Linked DNA regions of Lepisosteus oculatus. Each later gene encodes a partner of the first gene's protein in a complex. Links are inferred from orthologs where the notes say so. Each region holds a gene or a part of one and is shown on either strand. Other genes may lie near its edges.

The links. The genes of interacting proteins can lie anywhere in the genome.
Region 2: the proteins of kras (region 1) and rgl1 are in contact, whole or in part, in a crystal structure (PDB 7SCX), measured with the Homo sapiens proteins. The link is inferred for Lepisosteus oculatus from reciprocal best matches to the Homo sapiens genes KRAS and RGL1. Residues at the interface, in NP_001356715.1 of Homo sapiens: Ile24, Gln25, Glu31, Asp33, Pro34, Thr35, Ile36, Glu37, Asp38, Ser39, Tyr40, Arg41, Leu56, Tyr64, Met67; in NP_001284600.1 of Homo sapiens: Ile651, Arg653, Asn660, Gly661, Asn662, Met663, Tyr664, Lys665, Ser666, Ile667, Met668, Lys685, Asn687.

The regions. Positions count from the first base shown.
Region 1 is NC_090702.1:51,788,038-51,795,867, forward strand, and holds the start of kras (GTPase KRas), read right to left. Parts: upstream 3,014-7,830; 5' UTR 2,924-3,013; intron 2,607-2,923; 5' UTR 2,332-2,606; intron 2,144-2,331; 5' UTR 2,016-2,143; intron 1,877-2,015; exon of another isoform or gene 1,457-1,876; intron 1-1,456. UniProt on the Homo sapiens protein: Ras proteins bind GDP/GTP and possess intrinsic GTPase activity. Plays an important role in the regulation of cell proliferation.
Region 2 is NC_090704.1:31,214,470-31,222,055, forward strand, and holds the start of rgl1 (ral guanine nucleotide dissociation stimulator-like 1), read left to right. Parts: upstream 1-4,564; 5' UTR 4,565-5,469; coding exon 5,470-5,646; intron 5,647-7,586. UniProt on the Homo sapiens protein: Probable guanine nucleotide exchange factor.

The DNA.
Region 1 (7,830 bases):
ACAACCATTAACATTAGCGTTCAAGACTTTTTCAATTTGCATATTTTTCCAACTGCGAACAAATCCTATTCCATTTCCTTGTCCTAGATCAAACACCAAAGGGAAGGGTTTTGCAGTGCAGCTTGCTATATATCTGTGGCCATCTTCCTTTCAGAACAACAATGCAGAATGAAGATTAATCAAAATCACAAAAGCCCAGATGGGCAATGGTAAAGTGATGTGCTCTCTAAACACAATCACGACAGTAAACACAAAGGAATTATGCAAGAGTCTGCAGGCAACTTGGGACACAATTCTAATTAAAAAAATGATTCTTTTTGAAGATACTGCATCAAGGGGTGCATGGGACGAGGCAGCTAAACACAAATTGTGTAACTGTACAATGCTTAGCAGCACCCATGTGATTATCCATTGCTGTGTTAAAATAAAGCACTCAGTTTTAAGGGTTTCTATGGAAAACTTTACGAGTCTTCGTTCGCCTTACCCATAACAGCTTGGATGTAAACAAAAGTTTAAGATGAACAGGATTATTTAGTACAAAACAAGCTAAAATATGCAAAGCTATTTAAGAACCATATTATCACAACAAATTAAGAACACACAAAAGATGTGGAGGATCAGATATCATATCAACCTCCCCAGTTCATTCCATTCCCCCTACTCAGTGCAGTTACAACTGTTACTCTATTGCGAAGACATAGTTTCACCCACTTGTGATCTACAAAGGCAACATTTTCATGATGCAGAATTTGAACAAGCTGTTAAAAGCTCGAGAAATGTTAAGTACCAAACGTCTTTCCGACACCCAGTTAAGGAACAGAAAGTCCGTCTTCTGCCAAAATCTGCCTTGTGTCACTAACGGGGGAATTTTAAAGTATTTTCTACCAACTGGGTAGTTCATCGCGTTTGAGTCAACGGATAAATGTTAATTAAAAGAAACATGCAATAATAGATCTAACGGGTTTTTTTATATAACGTACAATATCCTTAACCAGTGTTAGTGCTTCAAGTTAACATGTGCAGACTACCAGTCTCAACAAAATTGAGATTCCAGCCCTGAAACTGGAATCAGCCCCCAAACTCCGTAACTGTTCACATATCCGTATACATTTACTGCGTATTTTGAAAACAAAAACGTTATGCATCTTAATATTAACACATTAATTTACACTCCAGAGTAGGCAGCTAACCGTCTGCTCCACTATCACAGCAAAGTAAAAAACAAATTACTGGGTTAGCCTAGTTTAAAAATCATTCTAAATATTTAGGAATTTCTAAAAAAAAAAACACCACCACCAACACTTAAAGCAGTGTATTCACCTTACGTTTCACACGCCTGTTCATCAGCTATTAACACAGACATAGCAAAGTGACCCGACCCTAAAGTGATATAAACTGTAGCAGTTGTGTTGGGTCTGCAAATTTCTCCCCCAAAGCAGCTGAATCCGCTCCCCACCTCTGAACACGCACGGCGCCAGCCCGTCCTCCTGTGAAATTAATGGCCTCTGGTCGCCGTCAATGAAATAAAACGGGGCAAGGTCCACACGGATCTAAGGCCAGTTTCGCCGTCCTCCCCTTGGCGTGAACACCGCGCAGCGCTGCTCGCCTGGCGGTTCCTAACGCGCGTCGGGGTGGGCGCACAACAGGCCCGTGGGTGTGGAATACGTTAACACCGCGGGTTTAAAAAGAAAAACAAAACTAACACACACACACACAAATCGCGTTTGGCCGAAGGAGCCTCGGGAGAGGGGCTGCGCCGCGCCGAGCTCCATCTGCATTGCAGGGCCACGGCCGGCGAGATGGGCGTTGTGGTGTTTCTTTCACCCTTTGCCACTTCCAGCTCGATTGTCCTCGGGTACGTGTGCGATACCCATGTTGCCCCCCCCACCACCACCAAAAAAAAAAAAAAAAGAAACGTGCACTTTTTTTTTTAAAGGAAACAGCCGTTCAACGTCAGCTGGTCCAATTCAGGGTTCATTAGCCACATATTTGATCTTTTCTTTTTTTTTTTTTACCTTTTGCCTCAGGAGTTCCGCGTCCGAAGTGTCAGAAAGAAGTATCTCGTTTAGTTGCTACAGCCCTTCCTTCTGTAACGATACAGGCATCTTTGGCTTCAGTCTTTTTTTAAAAACGTGACTCGGGTCTTCATCGCGCCGAATGTAAAAAAAAAACCAAAAACCCCCCTCAAACGATAGAAACTGCGGACGGCACACAAAAATCAATTAAACTTTTCTTTTTGGTTCCTTGTTCGGCCTGACGCCTGCCTGCCCTCAGACAAAACTGGGCGGATACTTCACATCCGAGAGCTCATTTCAAACACCACTCACTTACCCAGAAAGCAAATGGGGAGAGGCCAGGAAGGAGTCCGGCTTGCTCGCTCGGTTTCTCTCCTCGGGTTTCCTTCCTTCGCGGCGTTTTCGGAATTATTTCACCATTATTCTTTCAGACTGGACGGGGAGCTAAGACACCACAAGACGAGGAGTCCCGCATTAGCCCCAGCCCTCCCGGCGGTGCAGTTAAACCAGTCCCAGTTCACACAGACCGCTTCACTACTCCCAAGGACTGGCAGAGGGCGTTACAGGCGATTACAATTTGTGAAACGAGACCTAAAAATAGAAATCCAGTATCTGCAACGAGTCCCGACTTAAAACATCGCTTATCGAGAAAACAAGAGGCTTAAACGCACGTCTCTGAATTTGTGCGTTTATTATTATGATAATAATAGGATGTCAAGAATAATACATGCTTTTACTCTTGTGAAACGGCTGACTTGTTCAAGGGAGCTCCCCCCTCATTTGTACGGAGTACGGCTAAACCATACCTCATGGGAAAACAACGTGGCTTGAAACAACACTTTAAATGACAAAAGCAGGGCAAGGTACGTTTCAGAAAGTGAAAAGACGCGATTTTCTACCCCACTTACCAAAACGCACAACTGTATGTAACGATTTTACTAGGCTAGAGCACAAGCAATTCCCAGCCACCTCTAACCTCTGCCAAATCTGTGTAAACACTGAACAGACCAGCAGCAGCAGCACAGCTTAAATAGGCTCTATAAATACACTGCTTATGCGCTTTAACTACGTCACCGCCGAGAAGGTGTCTGATTTGGCGTTTCTCTGTCAGTTACGCAATGCCCGGATGACGTCAGTACACACCGTAGCAATGTATTATTGCAAATCTTTACAGTGTGTGAACTGCGGTGAACCTGTCTGTGAGATATTAACCCTGCCCTGGACGAATAATGGCAGGAGGCGTTAAATAGCACATGATGATCAACCGAGATACTCTTTTTCTAACCTCTTAACCATTAATCTTTCCTTTGCATGAATTTCGATACACAAACACCTGCATTTTTTAATCGCTAATTTAGTATATTGTATTATTTTTCGATTGCAAGGTGGAACTGGGAATTTTTTGCTACCATAGCACCGCAAGAATTCTTTAAAGGGTAAAATATGATTTCTCTCTATTAGAAGGTACAGTGAGAGAAAATACCCTGTTCAATGGCAGTCCTTACCGATATGCAGTGAGCCAGGTGAGTCTAGACCCTGGGCAGGTCACTGAAGAAAACCCATGTGGAAAAACTGTAGGGAGAACATGCAAACACCACACAGAAGGTCCCTCAGATCCTAATTGAAACCAGGACTAGTGACACAATACTGCTGACCACCACATCACCATGTCACCTGTGTTAGATAGAAATCCCTAATACCTATTGCATGCAATTTGACCCTGCATGTTGTAAAGCAGTGACTGAGCTTTTCAAAATAGTCAAGTTGTTGAACCTGTGAAATATCTGGTTAGAAGTGAATTTAGAGAAAACTGAATCAAAACCTTGCCTTTTCCTTTACATTTTCTATCTGGGCTCTCAACATCGCAGATTAGTGATTGTGGAGTAACTTTAAGTCTTGGAATTTGCGGGGTGCTATTCAGTTCCTACCTCTGCAAGAGATAAGTCCACTGAGCTCACAGGCACTCTTTCTGATATGGTCTGGTTTCTGTCTTTTCATCTCTATTCTTCATTGGAATGCAGTTATGTGCTAAGCTGCACTGTCTAATTATCCCCCCTTGTGGCAAAATTATTTGACTTTTTTTTTGCTGCTTTCCAGTGGATGACATTCACCCTTGCCCATGCTTTTCCTCAAGGAGTGTGCAAATTCCATTTCTGAAACACGCAAAGGGACAAAATGCCTTCATAGCCATGCTATACGTTTAATAGAAAACACATCACTTCATATTGGAATCAAAATGCTGATCTGCAGTGTCTTTATTCTGCTGGAAAGCATATGGCGTGGTTCCTATACATAAGTCAGCCTGCATTCGACATACTGCACTGCACTACTTGGACATAATGTATTGCATACAGCCTGGACACATCACAGCTCTATTTATATTGAGCTCTGTCTGAGTTTATTTTATTCCATTTCTATTGCACAAGTATGTATTATTATGTAGCCTTATTTTATAACGTTAATTTTGTGATTTTTACCCCCTCCCCTCCAGTGAGCGTGCAGAAAAGACATTTCATTGCCAGCAACTACTGCTGCACACTTTATTGTTGTGCATTTGATACATAAATGTTGATTGATTGACAGCACAGTATCCACATGTGGATTGTACAGAGTGTGCAATATCTACACTCGTCTTCAAACACATAAGCCACACTCACCCATTCTTGCAAGGTGTCAGGGTGAAAGAGTGTCACTTTCAATAATGTGAGTGTGTAGTCTGTTCAGGTCATTTTGTGTGATCCTAAGTTCCTCAAAAAGTATTCAATAAAGAGAAAATGTTCAACTCTAAATGCACTTCTTCCTACAAATTTTAATTTGTGCACTTGCTTCATTTTTGGGGTCAAATAATGCCATTAGAATTGCTTTGTAAACACCTTTCCGCTGCTGTTGTTGTGGTTCACAAAGTTTCAATAACAACAATACACTTAAATAATAATAAATACATTTTAAATCCCAGAAAGGGTAAGAACATCAGAAAAGTTGTAAACGACTGGAAGCCATGCAGACCATGTAGCCCACCTGGATGCTACTTAACTGATCTAAGGATCTCTTCGAGCTCTTTGTTGAAAAAGAATGTATCAGCTTCAACAACATGGCTGGGCACAGCAGCTTCTGAGTAAAAAAGAGCCCTCCTGTTCTCAGTTTTAGATGCACTTCCATGTAGTTTTCTCACATGTCCACTCGTTTGTTCTTCACTGTTTTGTGAAGAAGTCCTGAGTTGACTTTATCAGTGTCATTAAGGATTTTGACCAGGTCTGCTCTCATCAAGATATTAAAGGTGGTGGGGTTGTGGTGCAGTGTGGCGTGGTGGCTCTGTGGTTAAGGATCCGTGCCTGTGGCTGGATGGGTGCTGGTTCGTATCTTGTAGCTGGCAGAGGAATCCTACTCTGTTGGGGCCCTGAGCAAGGCCCTTTACCCCAACTGCTCCAGTGGTGCTATATAAATGGCTGACCCTGCAGTGTGACCCCGAGGTTCTCTCCCTGTCTGTGTGTCTCATGGAGAGCAAGTTGGGGTATGTGAAAAGACAAATTCCTAATGCAAGAAATTGTATATGGCCAATAAATTGATCTTATCTTCATCTGAAGGCTTTTTTCCTTCAGCCCATCAGCCCATCAGTGCAAGGCATTCATTTTAGCCCTGGAAGGGTTATGGACTAATTCCAGAGCAGCAAAATCTTTTTGTACCATGTTTAAGAATTCTATGACAACGTTTTAAAGAATATTTACTAGTGGACAAACGTCACATAACATCACCAGATTTCATTTCTAGGTTTTTCATGACATATCCTAATATTCTGTTTCTATTGCCTGTCTATATTTGTCTACAAGATGTTTCAGAACCAAATGTCTTTTCATTCATTTAAAGCTTGTGTACAATATCAATATAACATCGTACAACTTTAAAAACCTAGATGTTTAATGAGGTGTTTTGAATTCTTGACTCCCTTTGCTTATTATCAATGATTTGAAGTGATATTAAGTCATTTCACTTTGAAGTGAAATTAGGTGCATGAGAGGAGAAGCCCAGTTCATTAAAATAAATGAATACTGCTTCAACGTTGAAAACAGCATTTATTGTACTTACAGGCCTACTGGAATAGCAATGCCAGAAATTATTTTAAGCATTTTTTGTATGAGATAATGAGATTAATATGAATGATAAGTACAATATAAATGTGTTTGATCGTAATAAAACAGAAACATACTTTGTGCTCAACCCAGTGATTTCAAGTGACCATGCAGTTAGTACCGAGATATTAAAATGCTCCTTTGAGGCAATAATTGGTCTAAACTTTTAGGTTGTATTGGCCTTGTGTTCTGGTTCGATGTCTTTCTGCATCGTGAAGTGCTGCCCAATATGTATGGAATCATTTCTTCTACCTAAGCAGACAAAATGTTTCTGTAAACTTCAGAATTCGCTCTGTTGCTGTCATTAGGTACATAATCAAAAAAATGAGTGAGCCAGTTCTGCAGGTGGTATCCCCACTACCTCCACCATGCTTCACAGATGAGACCATAATCTTCAGAGAATCTACGGTTACTTTTTTCCACTTTTTATAACTTTCTATCATTATGTTAAAAAGTTCATCACAACTTTGTTACAAGACTCATGCCTCATCTTTTTACTTCTGAGTAAAATATAATCTGTCTTTTTTTGGTCTTGATACTGATGAGTGATTTACATGTGGCTTAGGCTTTGTAATTCTGCTTTCCTACAAACTGTAACTGTGATACCTTCTCCCCTGGACTCTGCAGACTGCCAGCAATTTCACTAAAGGCTGTTAAAGGGTTTTTCTTGAGAGCTCTGATGATTTTTCCATTAACAAATTGCACATATTTGTCTTGGCTGACTTCTTCTTTGCTAATTGGTAATTAAACCCATGGTCTGTTTCTTCAGTAGATTCTACAGTACATTGTGAATTTTGGTGTGCCCATTATTGTTTCAAATATTGACTTTAAAATGCTGATTCCAAACATTGACAGCCAAGCAAAATACAGTAGTATAATAAGATGTTCACAGTTCTGTTATGAGCCTAATTGCCCAACAGCTTACAGCTGACCAACAAGAGACACCAGCCTGCCAGTTGTTCCAATACTTTTTTCTCCTTCAAATTAAAGGGGTTCAACGAGGTTCTAATCAACAGCTATGTCATCCTACAACCCATAACTGATAGCCCACTGCTGCTAAGCAGGTGTGAGCTTGGTCAGTACTTGGATGGAGACCTCCTGGGAAAAACTAAGGTTGCTGCTGGAAGAGATGTTAGTGGGGCCAGCAGGGGGTGCTCACCCTGGGGTCTATGTGGGTCCTAATGGCCCTGTATTGTGATGGGGACACTTTATTGTAAAAAGTCACTGTCCTTCAGATAAGATGTAAATCCAAGTTCCTGACTCTCTATGGTCATTAAAATTCCAAGGTGTTTCTTGAAGAGAGTAGGGGTGTTAACCCTGGTGTCCTGGACACATTTCTTATTGGTCATCATCATCATCAGTCATGGCCCCCAAATAATCCCCATCTCTGAACTGGCTTCATCACTCTGCTCTCCTCCCCACTGATAGCTGATGTGTGGTGAGCATCTGGCGGACTATGGCTGCCATCGCATCATCCAGATGGGGCTGCACACTGGTGGTGGTGGAGGGGAGTCCCCATTACCTGTAAAGCGCTTTGAGTGGAGTGTCCAGAAAAGCGCTATATAAGTGTAAGAAATTATTATTAACAAAATAAACATATTTAACTAATGTTACCTATGTTTGATTCAAATGGGGTAGAGCTTAATTGACTTTGATAATAGATTATATTATTTTTTTAATAAACAAAA
Region 2 (7,586 bases), on another chromosome or scaffold:
GTGTGCGTGTTTCTGGTCTGCGCTGCTGGCGGAGTGCAGCCAGCTGTGTAAACCGGCCCAGACCGCGGGGCAGGATCGCTGTGTCAGCAGGCTGTGGCTGCGGGGAGAGACGAAAACACGCCGGGAGAGAGGAGAGAAAAAACAACAAGGAGAAACGGCAAAGAGAGCCGAGGGAGGGGGATGAAAGGAACAGAATACTTGAAACCTTGTTGTTGAATCCGAGGGAGGGGAGAAGGGATGTGGGAGAGAACAAGGTTTACCGTAAGGCAAGGAGAGGGAGGACACAGTCGGAGACGAAGGGGAAGAAGGAGAGGGTGAAAAATGACTCGGCATCAACAGTGAAAGAGGCCTCGGGATACAAGCGTATGGTGAAACTGTATTAAAAACCGAGACCAGGAAGCCCCTCTTAATACAAAGGGAGGCGGGGGTATGGAACAAGCTGCCCAGCTATGTCTTTGAAGCAGATACCCTGGTTTCTTTCACGAAACAGCTGGATAAGATCCTTGGATCAATTAGCTGCTGGGCTTCAGACAGGCTAGATTGGCCAAAGTTCCCCCCTAAATTATGTTCTTAGGAAGTTAAGAGAGCTGGGCAGAAAGATGCAAAAAAGATTAAAATCTAACTACTCAGTCACTCCTGAATATTGCTTTTAGCCTTGGAATGAGCTGGGCAGTTGTGCAGCTCCAGTGTCTCAGTCACTCGCTGTGCCTCCTGTCCTGTTCCTGTGTGAGAGCATCTCCAGGGTTCTCCTATGCCTCAGTTCATGTTGTTCGCTGGGCTTAAATACAACACTGCCTCGCTAGATATTGCAGAAATACAACCGCTTTTCTGTCAGCTCTGCTCAAAGAGGACGGACTGAATCTGCTGTCGCACAGTGCCCATCGACAAAGATCTGTGCTCAGAAGCCTACGCAACACCATAAGTCTTCCCCCTTCACTTCCTGTTGCTTAGCTTGACAGCCCAGTTAGTAATGTGTGAGGATGGGTTTGATGTATGGGCCTACTCATTTGTGAGGGTTTTGTTTCTAACAGTTTATTGGACTTAATAAAGACTTTTATAGCAAAGTAGCTCTTAACAAGTAAGCGGAAAGACTGCACTCTGCATTCCTCTATAGACTGCATGAAGAAATCAAGGGCTACCTGGGGCACTAACTAATCCTGGAATAGTGTGGGTGAGGTTGCATATGGTGATGGTCAGTGATTAACTTAACTGGCTGGGCAATTAGTAAGGACTGCGTGCTGCTGGGCAGTCCAGTATTTCCGATTGGAGTGAGAGGTCTAACATCTGTATCTCTGATGTGGCTGTTCATTGACTTTAGCACAGGAAGTCCAGTTCTGGGACAGTGCATTTTGTACCATTTATACAAAATGATTGTTAAAGCTTTGATAAATGCAGTTAGGCCATTTATGTTTTTAAAATGTTCAACAGGTAAGTAAAGATAATTTATGCACATCTGAGGCGGTAAGATCAATAAAGAAAATATATCGATGTCTTGCTAATACTTTAATTGAGGGATTGCAAATGAATTACAAGTGCACAGTAACCAACCTTTGTGCACTGCATCATAGTTTTTCCTTTACTACGACCTTGAAATTCTATGTTAAAGCACATACCTGATCATTAATCAAACCAGTTCAAAAACGTTGTCCATATAGTTCTCTGCTTTGGTTCCCATCCTCAGTTACATCAGACGCTGTTGGTATTAATTTTATTCTTGTAAGACATTGCAAGTAGTAGATAAGGTGATGTATAACACCCCCTTTGTTAGGACAACTTCTAAATCTCTTTGGCTTTGCATATTTGATTTCTTATTAAAACACTTTGTGCAATTAGGTCATTAGGATTGGAGGTGTAATACAAATCAGCCTCTGAACTTTGAGGACAGGAGTTGCTGTAGTTATCTGAACTCTTAGAAAGTCGTGTCTTGTGGTAGCCCCCAAAATGAAATGAAATCGAGGCGCAGCCCTGTTCTCATGATTCCTCAATCTGTGAGTCTGTGTCTCTCTGGACCAGTCTCCTCACACTGTCCCCTGCAGGGCTGAAGGAGGCTGAGTCAACTGCGATCTCGCAGCTAGACCTGAGCTCCTTTCACCTGGCTGGGCCCGGCCTCAGAGGCCATGGCCAGTGGTCGTGTGTGTGTTTGCGTGTTTGAGAGTGTACGTACTGTATTCTGGCTGGATGGCCGGCCTGTCGTAGTGTTATCGAAGCCCAAGTGCATTGCAATGAAGGCGAGTGCGTGGTTGATTTTGACTCTGTGGTAGGGTGAAGTGTAAGTTGTTTGTGCGTTGTGTGTCGGAGTGCCGCCTGGTTCCAGCTGAGCACCCCTGAACAGAGCCGTTTCACACAGGCCTGCCCTTACAGCTGCATGTTCCCCCGCCCGCTGCTCGCCCGCCTCGCCCCCCTGTGGAGACGCAGAAACCTTAAACCGGGACAGCTCCCCAAAATCAGCTGCCTTTTAAACCCACAAGCCTAGATTCCTGTACCTGGGTTCACAGAGAGCCACAGAATGACAGACGCCCATGTCTCACACACTAGTGTTCAGAAGCAACCATGTGCAGAGAGGAGAGGGAACAGATCTGTTCTTTATTAAAGTATAATACAGATATCATGAAGAAGTTTTTGATGGAAGGGGCAGCCATTTCCTCACACTGAAAATACTGCAAAGCTACGCCAGAGAATAGTTGAACCACTCTCCCGGTTTTGGGAAAACTGGAGTTGCAAGTCTTTCGGGAGTGTAGGAATGATATAGGAATAAAAAGAAACCATGAGAGACTCAGAGAAAACGGACTAAAGCCACCATAAGAGCATTGATCAGGCAACGGACACACCTGTACAAAGGTCCTACTAAAAGGAAGCCATAATGTTGAGAGATCTGTATCTGTTGTGGGTCATAAATGAAGATGGTTGATGGGAAAGATGTCAGGGATTTTGCTGAGGAAGAATGACCTCTGTTATTCTCCATGCATGTGATACTTGAATGGTACTGTACACACACGGACAGATATCCGGATGTGGAATTAGCATTAACCTGCAGTACCAGTGAAGCAGGGCCAAAGTGCAGCCCGTTTCCCCTTAGCTGTTGTTTAACAAGGAGCCCATAAATCTGTAACTGCCCTCGCAGAACATCGCTGACTCGGAGAGCTGTACAGTTGACGGTCACACAGCAAACCGCGTAGCGTCTGTGTAAATGAAGAGGCTCCAGCCAGGCAGTTAGGAGGTTTTCTGATTTGCTCTCTAATGTAGACGTGTCCTCTTCATTATTTCTCTGAACTTGCTTTCTGCTGAACTTCACCGCCCACTCAGTATGTGAGACATTGCTAAGATGCACCGAGTCAGTGAAATGTTTTTTTCTCATTTTGCAGAAGGTGCTCTCTGTATTAAAAACCTGAATGTAGAGAACCTGCTCCTTGTTGTGCCTGGAGCTTGAGTGTTCTATTTTGTTGCATTTAAAGAAGTGTTTTTAACTTAACTGGCAGTGCAATAGGGCAGAATCAAAACTAGCCGCATCTTTGTAACAGTTTCTAATAGTATTGCTGTTTCTCTAGATGACTAGAGATGTCTTAGTCTTAAGTAATACTTCCACAATAGTTTGGTAAACGCCTAGCTGGCTGCCCTGATGTTTTACGTTGTAGCATTTCAGCTCTAGAGTCCTGGGTTCAATTTTGGCTTTGTGCACTGTCTGTGTGGAGTCTGCATGTTCTTCCGGAGGTCTGTGTGGGTTTTCTGGCTACACAGGTGGCAGAAAGGTGCAGTGTGTTCTAAACAGGAAGCAGAACTTCAGACCTGCAGAGGAAGCTTATGAGAAAGAGTTGGGTGTAAATGTTGACGCATTATTTACATCTTCTATCCACTGTAGGGAAGCAATGAAAAAGGTCATGAAAATGTTCTGATATATAGTTAATGGGTGAATAAAAACCTAGCACGATGTTTATCGTTGTTTAATTAGGGTCGTGTCCAAAATAGGAAGGAAATAATATATTGTTATTCAGTTCTTTAATTGTATGGTAGATGAATTAGTTAATTAAGCTAGTAAAGGTTGACAAATCTATTAGCTGATTTATTGAATTTAATTTTTTTCTGTTGGGTTTTTAGGAAGATATTGAGTTTACACTTAAAACTGAAGACAAGTTGCACAATCGATTAGTCAGCACTGCAGGAAAAGGCAGGAGAATAAAGGAATTCTCCACAAACCCCCTTCTGGGCTTCATGTGCAAGTCCTAATCAACTGCAAACCAGTTCTTATCTCAAACAGACACTTTAGCTTGATTGCACAATTGGACCAGCGTGCCTTCTAATAATGCACAGCACAGGCAGCGCTCCTTTATTCCCTGGCAGCTGATCATTGCCAGCTCTTCTTGGGGCTCAATGGGTCAAGAAGAGTTTTGAGCGGTTGGTCTGCAGACCCGCTCCCAGCCAGAGGAGCCCACAGGACGATCCTGTCCTCCCCGGAGCGCTCAGCCTCCGCGCTCACAGCCAGCCTGCTGGGACGCTGGGAGGGGCGGGTCTGCCTCTCTCTCCACCCCCCTGCACTGGCAGCTCTGAGAGAGAGAGAGACAACAGTGTTTATCCCAGGTCTGTGGCAGAGGCAGGACTGCGAGAGGGCGCTCAGCAGGCTCCGCTCGGGAACGCACACCCACTCAGAGGGAGAGCTGGGGGGGGGTGGCAGACGGAGAGGAATAATTACGGGACAGCCCTCCAGAGACTTCACTGCTCAGCCTGGAGGGAGAAGGGAACCCCTCAGCAGCACGGCCGTAGGCAACGCTGAAACCAGAGCAGACTGCGAGAGGAGAGACTGGGAGAGACCACTGGGGGGGGGGGGGGAAACTGGGACTGAGGTCCTGAAGACAGCCAGCAGAGCTCCTCGGGTTGGAAAGAGCCAGTGAGCATTAGGGGTCCCAGCTAGACTAGCCAGGGTCCGCATCCGGATCAGCCACCAGCAACTGGAGGCAGGCGGACACTGCCTCTGGGAACACCGGCTGGGCAGACTGGGTACAGCCCACTGCAGACCAGCACGCCACAGGGGGGCAGAGATTGGCCGGATTGGGACTCCTGACCCGCACAGAGTGGAGTACAGGTCCAGAGGATCACCGAGGGGACAGAGTGCCGCCTAGCTCGTCGCACCTGCAGGAGTTGGAATCTGCACTCGGAGCTCCGACTGGGATCGGCACGGAGCCGGAGACTGGCCCCCAGTACTGGCACGGCTAGCTCCGAGACGCTCTCGTCTTCTTTCCTCCTGACGAACCGGCTCCGTAGGAGTGTGGAGGAGCAGTTGCATCCGGAGAGGAGAGGGGATATCTCACGGGGATCATGTGCCCAAAGAAAAGCTCGGCGCAGAGCGAAGAGGTTCCATTTTGAAGGCAGAAGATTACTGATTTTTTGCCTGCCTGCCGCCGACGACATCCCAGTCTGGAACATGCCCGGTCTGCCGGGAGAGGGGAGAGTGCAGAGTCAGTGAGACTCCCTGCCTGGATGCCTGCCTCCCCCCGGCGCCCGATGATCTCTCACTACCCCCTGGCCTCGCTGCTGTCCTGGCCCCCTGGCACCCCTGAGGCCCCCAGTCTGGGGCTGGAGCTGCTGGGGGAGGATGGCGGGGTGTCTCTGCAGAGGTACCAGCCCCGCTCCCCAGACAGCACCCCGCGACACTGGGTCAGTGAGTCCCGCCCGTCGCAGGGCAAGGAATTCTGCCCACTTTGCTTTCTTTCTCCCGTGCCGTTGGCTCGCGATCTAGCTGCCTCTGAATGTGCTGGTCTGTCTGCCTCTGGCTTGATTGGCGTGACTGCTTGGTCTTGACCGTGAATCGGAGGGGCTGTCCTGGTGTTCCCAGGTGCTGAAAGGCACTGTTCTGTTGTAAAGATTTCTCCATCACTGATCAGCAGACAGTCTGCACCAGCCTTGAGCTTTTCAGTTCTCTGCATTGTGGGGTGTTTAGGACCCTGTAGTTGAGCTGAGTCGCTGACAACCTGCAAGCGTACGACACCGATACAGAGAGGGCAAGAATGAGTTCTGTTCATTTGGTACACAGTTGGCGACAACATTGTCCAAATGTAGTGATGAAATGTTTGAAGTAACTGTTTAGATTAGAGTCTATCTCATTCACTATCATGCCATTTGATTGTCAATTTGCTCTTGTTTCGTTCTGCACACAAATTAAGCCACTGCACTGGGAGATTAAAGGGACAATAATATCTAATCACTATTTAATTTCAGTATTGTGCAAATTTGAGGATTGAGTGTTTGAAGCTACAGATCACATAGACTAAGATATGAGGTATTTGAACCACATATATTAACCCATAACCGGATGGCTTTCAAAGAGGGGAAGAGAGATCTCGGCAGCTCGTCTGGGCCTCGATCAGCCGCCTCCTGTGTTGTTCAGCCTGTGGCAGAGCTTGGAGTTAGTGGTCAGCTGGCCACACAGGGTTAATCTTGCTGGCTGGTGGCTGCAGTCTGTTTGGACAAGCTGTGGCTGTGGTGAGAGCATGCCAGGAAGGAAGGCGTTCAGTGGGAATCGAGTGCACAGTTCCTCCCCTGAACTGTGGCTGTCAGCACTTCTGGGCAGAGAAGCCTCACTGTGTCACGAGGAAGGCTGACCCCACATTCCCCAGCTCCGAAAACTGCCTGTAACTGCAGATCAGGTTGTTATGACTGTACTGTAGCTGTATTACATGGTTTCGAGTACTGTTTTGCAGCACGTTCAGTAGCTCGGAGACCCGGTGCCGTTCAGAAGGGTGTTCAGTAGCTCGAAGCCCCGGTGTCGTTCAGAAGGGTGTTCAGTAGCTCAGCGCCCCGGTGTCGTTCAGAAGGGTGTTCAGTAGCTCAGAGCCCTGGTGTCGTTCAGAAGGGTGTTCAGTAGCTCAGAGCCCAGGTGCTGTTCTGCGGGGTGTTCAGTAGCTCGAACCCCCGGTGCTGTTCAGAAGGGTGTTCAGTAGCTTGGAGCCTAGTGCCGTTCAGAAGAGTGTTCAGTCGTTTAGTGCCAGAGAACCAGACTTTTTATTGTTCAGTAGATCAGTTCCGATTGTGTTGAGTGTCGCTGGGGTTAAGAAGCCTGGGCCTCGGGGACTGCGTGAGGGCTGCTGTGTCGAAGGTGGAGTCTGAGCTGGGTGGCGGTGTGTCGTGTGCGTCTGTGTGCACACGCTGACTGCTGGCTGTCCCTGACACACAGGCCTGCTTTCCGGCTATTGTACCAGCCGGGGATCAGCCAGGACATTTTTCATTCCCTACTGACTGTATGCCCCTCCAACAGGGAGTTGGGGATTACAGGGATGGAGTGCTCCATTGTTCAGGCGCTGTGCACTCCGCACAGCGTGTGAGAGATCTCGGCCAGCTGCTGTCCTGCTGTCCTGCTAGGCAGGCCATGAGCACGCTAACATTTCTCTAGATCTCCTCAATGTTCACTGAATTCAGCTTGATGGCAATAATACTTTGATTTGCCAGGGTGTCTTTGGCAACAGCCTCATGAAATATATAGGAAACTATGAGATAAGTTAAACCATTTTGTTTCAGTTGGACAGCCCTGTGCATTCTCTTGTAAAAAAGAATCGCATGTGACAAAGGTGTGAGGTACTTGTTTTGCAGACTGGGTGCCA